2 linked regions of the Elephas maximus indicus genome follow. The protein of the gene in region 1 interacts with the protein of each later gene in a pairwise test. Links are inferred from orthologs where the notes say so. Each region holds a gene or a part of one and is shown on either strand. Other genes may lie near its edges.

Region 1 (7,115 bases):
TAGGTCTCTGTGGCAGTTACTCCCGTTGTAGGGAGAAGGCATCCGGTACACATGATTTATTTGTATATGAATGGGCATGGCTGGGTTCCAATAAAACCTTATTTACAAAACCAGGCTGCAGTTGGATTTACCCTACAGTTGCTAGTTTGCTGACCCCAGCTTTGAGGAAAGATGCCTTTTCTGCCTGCTGCCTTCTCAACCTACCCTAGAAGACTTTTGTCTCCTGCCCACAACCTTCCTCTTCCATTCCAATAAGTGTATGGTGCTTATTGACTTGTTGCACTAGCTAGTAAGGGGGGAAGAAGTTGAATGAGTTTTGTACCCACATTTTACATGTTGAAACGTTTTTGGCGGATTCCTGTATAAATGTCAGACATTTCGTTCAAGTGAATATACTAAGTAGACCTCTGTTATATGTAAGATCACCACGAGTCAGAGCTGACTAGATGGCAACTAGCAACAAAGACCATATCTGGGTGGGGGATGATGTGTGTGTGTGTAAAATAGATTAGAATGGACAGAATTCATCCCCAGGAAATTCTCTTATCTTCCCCATGATATTAATATATTGTTAAGGGCCTCTATGTCACTCTGCCTTTCCTAAGATTCAGGTTAAACTTTTTTTTTTGTTGCCCCTGGAAACATCCCCTCAAGCGCACATATTAGCTGTTTCAGCCTAAGGACTTTCCCAGAGAATTATTACCCAACATCTCACAAAAATGTTACTAGCCTGAAATTGTGCTAGTTTGTGAAAAGTCTCCCTACGCTGGTTTATTGTACCAATTCCTGAAAACTTCTATCCCTATGCCAGTTTACTGTACCAGTTTGTGAAAACTTCTGTCCGTATGCCGGTTTTTTGGAACCAGAGATCCACACATCCATACACAGACCTAGGCTAGGGCAACTCCAGCATGCCATCAAGCACTTGCCCAAAGCCCTTGGAGTAATCCATACTTTTTGCAGTTTTCCAAGAATGGGGTATTAATAGTTTGCAGTGGCCTAAACATTTGGAAACTCTACGTACGTATAAAGTATATTACTGCTTTCTGTCGCTAGTCTCTGGCATCATATATTCAACCCTTACCATTTCCCAGGGCCCCTGAAAGTGATAGAAAGCCAAACAGGAGATAGAAACCTGATGGCAAAAGCCTGAGTGTAAGGATCCAAAAGTATTTGTGAATGGCTTATTCATTCCTTCTAGCTATTTTCCAAAACCAAATGTGATTTTTAAGTGACATGCTCTTGTTTTCCTATTAACTCAGTTTGCTGAGCATTTTAACTCTATCTCCATCAACACTAGGATATTCTTCTGTCGCTGTTAAGATTCCTATGGTAGTTTTCTCCCCAAAGACTTTCCTATCTAGTCTCTCAGTTATCTTTGTGGCAAACTTCAAGGTTGAAAATGGAGAGTATTAAGTGAAACGGGGATAACATGAAGTGGGAAAGAAGATTTAATCTCATTTTTCAAATGGGAAAATTCAGCCCTAGAGAAGCTGAGTAATTGACTCAAGGTTATAGAGTAAGGTCTGGTGGTGATACTTTTGCCCTCTAAGATTCCTTCTTAGTTTCTGTTGTAGTCTTTCACCCTAAGGACCTCCCTGATGTCCTATGAGAATGCTTCATATGGCATCTCTGTTACTTGAGATCAGATGCCCAAATTGGCCAAGATAAAGAAACCTATACAGGCCCAGAGTCAATGTGACCTCCTTAGTCCCATTGTGAAATCCAAGCTGGCTTTGTTGGGTAGTTGGGAGATGAGAGATTCCCTATTAATACACATATCTTCATGCCAAGCCTTGGACACAAAAGCTAAGAATGTGTCATGGGGGAAGGGTAGGATAAGTGATAGCAACTTGGATTTGGAGTCTTCTCCTTTTATCCAGTTCTTGGGAAAGAATAAAATTCCTGGGCTGGCAGTGCAACAGAAAGATGAGACTTCTACATCTCTTTAAGGAAGAAAATATATGCTGTTCCAAGAGTATACCAGTATGTGGTTAGATGCAGAGATGTATGTGAGTATATACATATGTCTGTCTGTGGACCCACAAGTATGCATATGTCAAAGTGTGTTTGGAATTTAGTCACATATTAACATCAAGATCTATATGTGTGGATTAAACCCATCCCCAACTCTAATACTCACATCAGCTGCCTTCTTCTCAGCCAGCTCCAGCTTCTCCTGGGCATCCTTCAAAGCCTCAGAATACTTGTCCAGTTCATCCTCTGTCCCTTTCAGCTTCTTCTGCATGGCTGCCAACTCATCCTCCAGCTGTAGGAGCCCAGAGAGTCACATACATATACACAGCAGTACAGTCTTGGACCCTGGGCTCTTGAGCCCTACTAGGCCCCGGAGCCCAGCCTCTATGTTACCATCCTCAGAGACATACTTTTTCCCCAGCCATTTCCAATCTAATGCTCCAAGTGTTACGCTTCGGCCTTGGCCTGTGACCCTATGTTGGGTTGGATGCCAGGGTTTTTATCCAAGACCCTGGCATCCAATATCTAAGGTTATAGATACCTGTGACTCCATTTAACGGAAAAGAGATGCTGCATGCCAGGCCTTCCGCCTTTTCCGGGCTCTTCCAAAAGATGATCCACCTCCCACTTAAATCCAGCAGACATGCTGTGGCTCTGAGGGGGATCACTGACTTTCCCGAGGTCACACAGGTAGTCTGAGGCAGATACCGCAGATGTCCTCTGCCCCTCCAGGGAAGCTGGGAAGAAAAGTCCCTCTTGCCTAAAGAAGGAGCTGGCACCAGGGGTCACTGCTTTTCCCATGAAAACTCTCTCCCATCTCAGTCTTATTCATCAGGAGGTGAAAGACATCATGGCAGTGCCTACCTGTTTACTTCTTTCTTCTGCCTGTTTCTGCTCAGCTTCAGCTTGTTCTGCCCGATCCAGAGCATTCTCCTTGTCCAACTTCAGCATCTGCATCTTTTTCTTGATGGCCTCCATCATGAGCAGTGGCTGTTGGGCTCACCTGTGAGCACTAGAAACTGGAGACTAGGTCAAGAAAGGAAGGGCTGCTGCCTGAGTGACTAGAAGTTTCCCACACTTAAGCCTTTATCTCTGCTTGTGGCTCCACCTCTTATTCCTAATATGGCCCTTCCATCTCTCTCCACCCCATCGTTATTCTCCTGGGGGAACACAGGGTGAGACACTTTGATGGACTGACATCACCGGCAAAGAAATATCTGTGAACAGCTGAGGCTGACTTTAGACAATGGAAAGTGGAGGAGGGGAGACTCTCACCAACCCTGAAAATTTCCACTTATTCTAGGCAGTTCTATGGGTATTTTACAAGAGCAGGGAGAGGGAAAGAGAAAACATTGATATAGAAAAGGGAAGGGTACTTTGGCAATTTTAGGATGGCGTGAGTTTTCATCCAGAGTCTCAGTTGCCCTTCAGCTTTCCTCTTACTGTCACCCAGACTGAGTTGGATGGTGATCAGATTCCACTGGTTGGGTTTCATCTTTTGATTCCTGGTATCCAGGGAGCCTGGGCAACAGTGAAGAGGGGAGGTCACTCATGATCCTTAACAATTCCCCTAGATCCCAAGATCAAATTGCTTTGCTATTTTGGGAGTCCCTGATTAGAAGGGAGACATCATTCCTCCCTGCTAAGAACCACAGGGATGGAGTAAGAGGGTAGGTTGAGATCTGGAAGGCCATCTCAGAGCTTAAACTAGGATAGGGTTAGAGTGAGCCAGACAGGATCATGCTGATTTCCCATTAAAAAAAGCCCATTGCCATTGAGTCGATTCTGACTCATAGCAACCCTATAGGACAAAGTAGAACTCCCCCATAGGATGTCCAAGGAGCGGCTTGTGGATTTGAACTGCTGACCTTTTGGTTAGCAGCCAAACTCTTAACCACTGTGCCAGCAAGGCTCCGTTTTCCCATAGTGATCTTTAAATAGAACTTTTGTACCCACACGGACCAATGGGTGTGCTCGGGTCGGGGGACGGGGGAGGGTTATCCAATAGACAAGTAAGCACAAGGTTACCAGATCATCCGTAGTGAACAATTTCACATTTTTTCACCACATCGAAGATTCTGCTTCTAGGTATGGCTGGCATCTGTCTCTGTCCCAACCTCACAGCACCTTCCTGCAGAATCAAAGCCTTTTTTTAAACTGACAGTCATAAGATGACCCAGTAAGCAAAGTAAGCACAGGCTTACTTGTGCTTACTTAACTAATCTGTAATGAAATTGTTCATTCCAGATGATCTGGTAGGCAAGGTAAGCTTACCTTGCCTATTGGATAATCCACCCCGTGACTCTGTTGCTTTCTACTCTTCTTTCCGTCACCCTTTACCCTCTCTTTATCCCCACCCCCACCACCACTCGTCAAAATAATCATCATCATCAACTCTATTCTCCCCAGCTTAGTTCCAGGGCGTGTTCATTCTTCCACTTGGAGCCTCATTGCTGACAGGTGGCAGTTGATCACACTGGCACCATAAAACCTGAGAGTATGCCAGGAGAGCGGTGGGCACTGTTCAAGGTGACCAGAGCTAACAGGGAAGAATATAAATGGCTCAAATGAATCATTATGTCAAGGCTAGATGGATGGTGTTAATGCTATGCCCCAGCAATGAAGAAACTGAAACGACCAGCAAGGCATAGGACAGAGCTGGAGTCCACTCTTGAGAACTGAGAGCTTGCAGTCACTAGAGATAAATAGATAAACGGTCAGATAACACTTGAAGGAAAGCAAGAGACCAAAGACCTCTAATGTGCAGACCAGCCAGGGAAATGGATTAGGAACAAGAGAGTCCCAGGGGTGGGAAGCAGTGGATAATAAGTGGGGAGGGGGACTTGAATGAAAAAATACAAGGAAAGGAGAGGAGAGGTAAAGAGAGAAATCTTATCTACTAAGGGGGAAATTCCAACTCTCATCCCACTCATACACCATCCCTCTAGCTTAAGATTGAAATCTTCATGGGTTGCAGCCACTAATATGCCAGAGGGGGTCCTGAAGAGAAGTTCAATAGAAAAGACAGGATCCCCAGAGGTTGAGGTAGAAAAGAGTGTGCTGCTGAATTGCCAACTGCTGTAAGAATATGTTTGACATTTAGTTGGCTCCTAATTAAACAACCCAATATCAAACATATCATACAGAAGCAGGCAGGAGAGCTTTCGTGGTCATTTGTCTTTCTCCCCACTGCAAAGAAAAGACAGAGCAGATAAACCAGGCACCAGTCATGGTTAGATGAAGAGCCATCTCTTGGGGAAGGTCACTGGCCCCTGCTCTTCACCTCTCAAGACAGCCAGCTCTTGCTTATCTGCCCTTCATGCCATTCCTGCCTTAGCTCCTCGCCTACTAGTGCCTGGCCTTTGCTGGATCACAATGGCTTACACCAGGAGGAATACCTGGCAGGGCTCCACATCCGGGCACCTATTCTCAAAAACTCCCACATGGAGCTTCTCCCCCTGAAGTCACGGCCCCAGCGCACAGAGGATCAGCAGTGTCAGCAACTCCTCAGCAGCCTTGCCACCTGTTCTCCTCAACTCCACTCCAACTGCCCCGAGGCTTTCCATTTTGGGTGAGGTTGGGAGGGTGGCTTGTACACCCTGCTTTCTTTTTCCAGTAGAACTCCTAACCTTTCCAGATCTTGCCCGCAAGACAGCTGAGGTCTATTCTGTGGACACCATCTTGCTCTTAAATGCTGTAGCTAAGTAGCCATGAGAAACTTCCCAAATGCTTGGCCTCTTTCCACCATCCTGTTCCTTCTCACCTTCTCATGTCCTCCAGGCATCCTCCTTGAAGTCGCCCTTGGTTGTCCTATACAGAAGAGTGACCTGTCTCATAAGCAGGGTCTGGGTTTTATCCTGTCCTCTGCAAGTCTTGTAGCCTCCAGCCTGGGCCCCAGAGGAGAAGACTTATGGTCTCCCTTGCCTGGCAGAATTGAAACTAAGACTACAGGAGATCAGGGGTGAAGAAGGAAACCCCCACTGCCAGGGAGTAGCCTGCAGTCCTTGGGACTCTCCTCCTCTTCTGGGACTTTTAACTGTAAGAATTCCAGCGCTTGGGCTGCCTTCTCCAAGGGTCTTCCCTCAGGGATCCAGCCTGGTTCTCTTCTAGGGGATTTTTCTTCTGAAAAGAATCAGGTCTGTTGATATCAGTGGCAGGCTGATGCTTCTCTGTACTGTGGCAGAAAGGAACTCAGGTTATAGCTGCACTGGGGGCTGGGGGGCTTGGGTGGAAGTGCAGGGTTTGGGGTGGAGGCTCTGCTTCAGCCCCCAGGCCTGTTCCATGTGTCCTTGCTCCCATTAGCCTGGACACTTCCCCCCACTCCAACTCCACTCTGCCCTTGAAAGAGATCAATAACTTGTCCCAAGCCCTAGTCAGTCCTGTTGTATGGCTCTTGCCTTCTGTGGGAAGACTAACAAATGGACGTGTAGACCTCAGGCTAGGCACCTGTGGTGTTATGTCCTTGTTCCTTTATGGCTCACAATGCGAGAGGGTATAAGTTTTGCTTTTCTGCCCTCCCTTTTTCCCCTCACTCCCACCCCGCAAGTTCTAGTGCCTTCTCTGAGAACCTTGGCCACAATGGAGAACCAGAGGCTGGAGAAAAAACAGTCTGGGGAGAAAGAATTTTCAGCTATGACATCTCCGACCAGTGCCTGATCTCTAAAATCTATATGACTCTGTCAAAACTCAACCACAAAAAGACAAACAACCCAATCAAGAGGTGGGCAAAGGATATGAACACACACTTCACTAAAGAAGATATACAGGCAGCTAACAGATACATGAGAAAATGCTCTCGATCATTAGCCATTAGAGAAATGCAAATTAAAACTACGATGAGATTCCATCTCACTCCAACAAGGCTGGCATTAATCCAAAAAACACAAAATAATAAATGTTGGAGAGGCTGCGGAGAGATTGGAACTCTTATACACTGCTAGTGGGAATGTAAAATGGTACAACCACTTTGGAAATCTATCTGGCGTTATCTTAAACAGTTAGAAATAGAACTACCATACAACCCAGAAATCCCACTCCTCAGAATATACCCTAGAGAAACAAGAGCCTTCACACAAACAGATATATGCACACCCATGTTTATTGCAGCTCTGTTTACAATAGCAAAAAGCTGGAAACAA
Region 2 (7,248 bases), on another chromosome or scaffold:
CTTAATATTCCAGTGTGATGTTTTGAAGTACTCTCTATGTGGTAACCAATGGTACAACAATTGAAACCAAGGTATTAACAGTGATAGATATTAACATCTGCTCCTCAAATGGCATTCAAAAATTCCCCCCTTCTCCTTTACATTTTAGTATTCCACAAGTTATTGTTGGTGTTAGGTGCTGTCAAGTTGGTTCTGACTCACAGTGACCCTATGTACAAGAGAACAAAACACTGGCTGTTCCTGCACCATCCCCACAATCATTGTCACGTTTAAGCCTATTGTTGCAACCACTGTGTCAATCCATCTCATCGAGGGTCTTTCTCTTTTTCGCTGACCCTTTACCAAGCTTAAAATCCTTCTCTAGGGACTGATCCCTCCTGATAACATGTCCAAAGTATGCGAGATGTAGTCTTGCCATTCCTGTTTCTAAGGAGCATTCTGGCTGTACTTCTTCCAAGACAGATTTGTTTATTCTCTTGGCATACCATGGTATGTTCAACATTCTTCATTAACACCATAATTGAAAGGTGTCAATTCTTCTTCAGTCTTTTTTATTAGTTGTCCAGCTTTCATATGCCTATAAGGCAACTGAAAACACCATGGTTTGGGTCAGGAATACCTTAGACTTCAAGAAGACATCTTTGTTTTTAAGACTTTAAAAAGGTCTTTCTTAGCAGATTTGCCAAATGCAATGTGTCTTTTGATTTCTTCACTGCTGCTTCCATGGGTGTCGACTGTGGATCCAAGAAAAATGAAATTCTTGACAACTCCAATCTTTTCTCAATTTATCGTGATGCCGCTTATTGGCCCAGTTGTGAGAATTTTTGTTTTATGTTGAGGGGAAACCCTGGTGGCATAGTGGTTAAGTGCTATGTCTGCTAATCAAAAGGTTGACAATTCAAATCCACCAGGTGCTCCCTGGAAACTCTATGGGGCAGTCCTACTCTGTCCTATAGGGTCGCTATGAGTCAGAATTGACTCGACAGCAACAGGTTTGGTTTTTTTGGTTTTTGGTTTTATGTTGAGGTGTAATCCATACTGAAGGCTGTAGTCTTTGATCTTCATCAGTAAGTGCTTCAAGTCCTCTTCACTTTCAGCAAGCAAGGTTGTCATCTGCATAACGTAGATTGTTAATGGATCTTCCTCCAATCCGGATGCCCCGTTCTTCTTCATATGGTCCAGCTTCTCAGATTATCTGCTCAGCATACAGATTGAATAGGTATGATGAAAGGATACGACCCTGACGCACACCTTTCCTGACTTTAAACTACAAGTACTACCTACATTTTCTTAATAAAAAAATCAAACCATATGATTCAAAATGACCCTTCACCTCCGCACCACCCTCTAAATCAAAATCCACTCCCCAGAATCATAAATTAAGAACGCAGCCTCCAAACATTTTTCTGTGCAACACACAGCACTCTTATAAACATAATTTTTCCAATTACTTTTCTTTCATAAAAATATGTCCTCTGACAATCATCTGTGAGTATAAATATATCCAATAATGTAAAAATTAACTTTAATTAATATTTAACTTAATTTTAATTAAATTTCTTATTTTAGAAATCCACCACCAGGTATTTCACAGTGTGCATGAGTATACTTTGATTTATCCATTCCTTTCCCATTTTCTGCTACCACCAGTGGGGCAGAATCTGTGTGTTTTGTGTGATCCGCTAGGAAGGTGACTGAAAAAGGAAAAATCAATTTAAATGTTAAAAATCCTGCCAGATGTGTTACTGCAAAACCTTTACCCACTGGTCTTCCTACCAGCTCAGTATGGGGAGGCATGTGTCCCCACAGGGTCACTGACATCAGACATCACCCTGCTTCCCTTTCTGAAATAATCCGATGGACTGAAAATTTAAATTTCTTCCTTTGCTGTTGAAGTTGAAAAAACCTTTATTTAAATATATTAGCTTATTTGAGTAACTTGATACCGTGACACTAAGAGACTTCTACGGCATGGTGAGTGGAGACCACAGCAGGTGCTTTAAAAAATGGGATATATATAGATCTGTCCAGTTTATTTTTCTCTTTGTCCTTAGGCCTGTCACTGGGTGTCAAGTCCTACTCTAAGAGAGCTATCTGTGCTAAACTTATTTCATTATTCAAACATTTATTTTGTAAAAACACTACCAAGCACCCGCATGTGTCAAGCAGGCACTGGCGCAGGTAAGTATCGAGACAGTGATCAACAAGCGCGTTGACTACAGCATTCTACGGTTCAAAATTCCCAAAGAACACACTGGGGAGATTTTTCTGTTTTTCATCTCCTTGCTGGGCTGCAATTCCTCAATTTTAGTACAATGTGAACAAGCTGCGTGTCCCTCCTTTCCCTGGTTGCCCGAAGGAAAGACAGTCTGGTCTCCAAGCAAACCAGGCACAGTAGGGACATCTGGGGCAACAGGGAACTCTGGCTGTGGACTGGCCGTTAAAATGAGGATTCCCTTAGGTGTGCACTTCAAGGGAAAAGCCCTTTTATTTTTTTTGTTTGTAGATACTCATACGGAAATTCTCACGAAAACTACTTAAATTGCCTCAGCAAAAACTCAAAGGAGCAAAATACAGTGCAAGTTAAATGAGTCATATAAACTATTCCCTTCTCTTTGAAGAACGATCAACGTTTTTTTACAATAAAAAAACTTAGAATCGTTTTCAGTCACTTTCATCCCAAAGATGGAACGGCCCAGCGTCCGCGCACCCGCCCAGCTGGAGCGCGCTCGGACCCCGCACCCCGAGTCTTTTCCAACCCAGCTACCAAGAAGGCCCTCGTCGGCCTCCCGCCACTACCTCCGCCTTTTTCAGACCGGTCCATGGCTCCTGCGAGCTCCGCATTCGAAAGCCCCGACCTTCCCGCCATTTCCTCTCAGCTCGGAGGTGTTGGCGTCTTCGGCGCTTGGGCCGATGATTGGACCAAACCTTGCCAGGGGCGCGACCCCCTGCAACACGCCTGCGCAATGCACTTCCGCCCTGCAGTTACTTCGCGAGGAGGGAAAGAAGAGAGAAACAGGCGTGTAACGGTTCCCCGCCTGAGCCCTCAAGAAGTCGGGCGCCCTGCCGGGCAGCTAGTACGCATGCGTAAAACTTGCAGGTCCACAAATCCAGTTTAGAGAACGGCAGGGCAGCCTGCGGCCTTGCTATTCGTCAGTTGAGGAGCCAGTGTCCTGCGCATGTGTAACGACACGGGCGGGGCGCGCTCCTTTAGCATCTTTGGTGCTGCGCAGGCGTGGGCCTCTAGCCCCGCCCACAGAGGCTGGAGTAAGTGCGCATGTGTTGTGCCATGGCGCCAAGAGCTGGCGTTCCTGCTCTGCTAATACTCCTTAGTGAACAATGGGCTCAAGCATAGCAGTGACAGTGAGAATGCTGCAGCACCGGGCAGTGTTTCCTTCTGTAGTACATAAGGTTGCTGTGAGTCGGAACTGACTCCACGGCACCTAACAACAACAGGGAACACCTGATGCCAGATGTCCTCATTTCACCGATGGCTCCAAGGCAGGAACTTGGGGTCGCAGCCATTTCTTAGTAGAGAACTCCAGAGACAAAAAGGGACGTACAGAGAAACATTCCATGAAAAAGAACACGGAGACACACGGGGAGATACTCAGAACCGGCTACCAACGGCGGTGTTCAGCGGCCTGCGGGCCCCGCCCCCACCAATGCGGGCGGGGCCTCGGAACCACGCTCGGACGCCTGCGCATTCGTTCTGGATCCTGCCCTGAGGAGCCTGCGTTTTGTGCCACGGCGTCCTGGGTGCTCCCGCAGGTCCTGGTCTGGTTCCCTCAGCAGGCCCAAGTCTCCACCTCTTCCTGGGGCCTCTGGACCCCTTGCCGACGCCCAATCGGTGGAGTCGATGGGCACGTTCTACTTCAGCGCATCACGACCGGCAGGCCCCCTTCTCCCCCACACCCCCCCGCCGGCTATAGGGTCAGGGGCAGGGGAGCAGATGCGGACTGTCTGCTGTGCCAGAGCTTTATCTCTGGGAAGAGAAGATGGGTCCCGAGTTCCCTGGGGGCCGGGGCGGGGGATACAATTCTAGCCACTGTCCTGGAGGCAGTATTTGAGTATGTTCCTGACATCAGGGCTGCTCCTTCTGCTCCACAGGCCCGTACGTCAACCTGGCCCCGAGGGCAGGCCTGGCGAGAGTGCATCCAGAGGACCCCGGCCGGCATCCTTGCACCCCTTAGCCCTGCTGGCCAGGCTGGCGTGACCCGCTGTTGCTGCCCTCTGGTTGAGCAAGCTGACGTGGAAGCTGAGGCAAGAGGACCAGGACTGGGGGTTGGCCTGCAGCACCCTGCAGGGACCAAGAGGAAGGCAGCCTGCAGTGGATCATGAGGTGGCCACGTTGCAGGTGCAAGTCTGCCCCGCCCACGCAGAGCCACAGAACCCGACCACCACCTAGAGGGCCCTGGGGAGAGGGCCTCATGCCCGCCGGTCCCTCACATCAAGAAGCTCTCCCTTGCGCCCACCTCCATCAAGTGCTTGATTGGGATCGTTCCCTGTGACTGAGAATGGATCCATCAATCAATTGAACAGTCAAACATAAAACAATAGCTAGCCAAATAAACCCAATCTCGTTGCCATGGAGTGGATTCTGACTCATAGCGATCCTATAGGACAGAATAGAACTGTCTCAAGATTTTCAAGGAGCTGCTGGTGGATTCAAACTACCAACCTTTTGGTTAGCCACAGTTCTTAACCACTGCATCACCAGGGCTCCAAAACCATCTGTTGTTAGATATTGTCAACCCTACATACAATAGAATGAAACACTACGGGATCCTGCGCCGTCCTCACAATCGTTGCTATGTTTGATCCCATTGTTACTTCCACTGTGTCAGTCCATCTCATTGCGGGTCTTCTTTTTTGCTGACCCTCTACTTAAACAAGCATGATGTTCTCCTCAATGAACTGGTGCCTCCTGATAACATGTCCAAAGTAGGTAAGACGAAGTCCCATCATCTTTCCTTTTAATGACCGTTTTGGCTATACTTTTACCAAGACATTTATTTGTTCTTTTGGCAGTCCGTGGTATCTGCCATAACTTAAAGGCGTCAATTCTTCTTTGGTCTTCTGACTTATCTTCCAGCTTTCGCATGCATATGAGATGATTAAAAACAACACGGCTTGGGTCAGGCACACCTTAGTCCTTAAAGTGACATCTTTGCTTTTTAACACTTTAAAGAGATCTTTTCCAGCAGATTTGCCCAAATGTGTCGTTTGATTCCCTGACTGCTGCTTCCACTGGCGTTGATTGTGAATCTGGGTAAAATGAAATTCTTGACAACTTCAGTCTTTTCTCCATTTAACATAATGTTGCTTATTGGTCCAGTTGCAAGGATTTTTTTTTTCCTTTATGTTGAGGTGTAATCCTGCCGTATGATTAATTACTTTTCTGTGTGGTCTTTCTAGCCATGGTCTTGTAACTCCCACTCAGGTGATTGGGTGGGACTGTGTGATAAGATAATTGTGGCCCTCCAAGGGGCTTGGTCATTTTTGACTTAAAAGAGAGCCAATTCCAGAGCAGAAAGGAGGATCCTACCACCACCAACGAAGAACAGCCAGGAGTGGAGCACGCGTCCTTTGGACCCAGGATCCCAGTGCTGAGAAGCTCCTGGAAGCAGGAGACCAAAGGAGTGAGAGAGCAAGCTATAACCCTAAAGAGGGTGAGAAGCGGTTGCAGGAGAGGCCTGGCAGCAGGAGAAGGTGGATTGGGCTTCCTGGCCCACAGAGAAAGCTGACTATCTTTGGGGAGAGGCCTAGGGCTAGGGAGAGGTGTGCCTGTGAGCAGGGTTGGGAAGAGGCTGTCCTGATGAAAGAACTGTATCCTGAGTGTTCTTGAGCCAGAAGTATAACAGTTACTTCCCTTATAATAAACCCTAAATATGGTCTTTGAGTTCTCTGTGGTCATTGCAGTGAAATATCGAGCCCAGCAGAGAAGTAAAGAGTGCTATGTGAGGGACAGTTGATGTCAGAATTAGTACAGATGGCAAAGAGAGGAAGCTTGTCTGGCCTCTGCCTCATGGGAGTCAGCCTTGTGCTGTTGATCTTGATTCTCCTTCCCCCTTGGGTTGGAGAAGGTCAGACACTGCCCCCACACCATTTTTACAAATCTATACTGAAGGCTGTGGTCTTTGATCTTCACCAATAAGTGTTTCAAATTCTCTTCACTTTCAGCAAGCACTGTTGTGTTATCTGCGTAACGCAAATTGCTAATGACTTTTCTTCCAGTCCTGATGCCCCGTTCTTCATATAGCCCTGCTTCTGGGATTGTTTGCTCAGGATATAGATTGAAAAGTATGGTGAAAAGATACAACCCTGATGCACACCTTTCCTGACTTTAAACCACACAGTATTCCCTTGTTCTGTTCAAACAATTGCCTCTTCATCTAAGCATAGATTCCTCATGAGCACAATTAAATGTTCTGGAATTCCCCTTCTTCCCAATGTTATCCATAATTTATCATGATCCACACAGTGGAATGCCTTAGCATAATCAATAAAACAGGTAAACATCTTTCTGGTATTCTCGGCTTTCAGCCAGGATACATCTGACATCAGCAGTGATAACCCTTGTTCCACGTCCTCTTCTGAATCTGGCTTGAATTTCTGGCAGATCCTGTCGATATACTGCTGCAGCTGCTTTCGAATGATATTTAGCAAAATTTTACTTGTGTGATATTGATGATATTGTTGGATAATTTCTACATTCTATTGGATTTCCTTTGTTTGAAATGGGTACAAATGTAGATATCTTCCACATTTCTTGGCATAGATGAGTTAGCGCTTCCAGCATGGCATCAGTTTGTTGAAGCATCTCAAATGGCATTCTGTCAATTCCTGGAGCCTTGTTTTTCTCCAGTGCCTTCAGTGCATCTCAGTACCGGTTCTTGATCATATGCTATATCCTGAAATGGTTGAACACTGACCAATTCTTTTTGGCATAGTGACTCTCTGTATTCCTTCCATTTTCTTTTGATGCTTCCTGTGTCTGCTTTTAGGTCATTAGGGCTCAATGCATCAAGTCTATTAATGACATGGTCTCTAAATTCAGGTGGGATATATGCAAGGTGGTACTTTCGCTCTCGTGGACTTGTTCTAATTTTCTTCAGTTTCAACTTTAACTTGCATATGAGCAATTGGTGGTCTGTTCCGCAGTTGGCCCCTGCCTTGTTCTGCCTGATGATGTTGAGCTTTTCCATTGTTTCTTTCCACAGATGTAGTCGACTTGACTCCTGTGTA

What was found.
Region 2: the proteins of TPM3 (region 1) and SYCE1 interact in binary tests that used the Homo sapiens proteins (3 or more experiments, as listed by UniProt). The two-hybrid records come from large-scale screens. The link is inferred for Elephas maximus indicus from reciprocal best matches to the Homo sapiens genes TPM3 and SYCE1.

The regions. Positions count from the first base shown.
Region 1 is NC_064821.1:191,974,358-191,981,472, forward strand, and holds the start of TPM3 (tropomyosin alpha-3 chain), read right to left. Parts: upstream 3,017-7,115; 5' UTR 2,959-3,016; coding exon 2,842-2,958; intron 2,270-2,841; coding exon 2,144-2,269; intron 1-2,143. UniProt on the Homo sapiens protein: Binds to actin filaments in muscle and non-muscle cells. Plays a central role, in association with the troponin complex, in the calcium dependent regulation of vertebrate striated muscle contraction.
Region 2 is NC_064834.1:83,296,929-83,304,176, reverse strand, and holds the start of SYCE1 (synaptonemal complex central element protein 1), read right to left. Parts: upstream 3,024-7,248; 5' UTR 2,870-3,023; coding exon 2,800-2,869; intron 1-2,799. UniProt on the Homo sapiens protein: Major component of the transverse central element of synaptonemal complexes (SCS), formed between homologous chromosomes during meiotic prophase. Requires SYCP1 in order to be incorporated into the central element.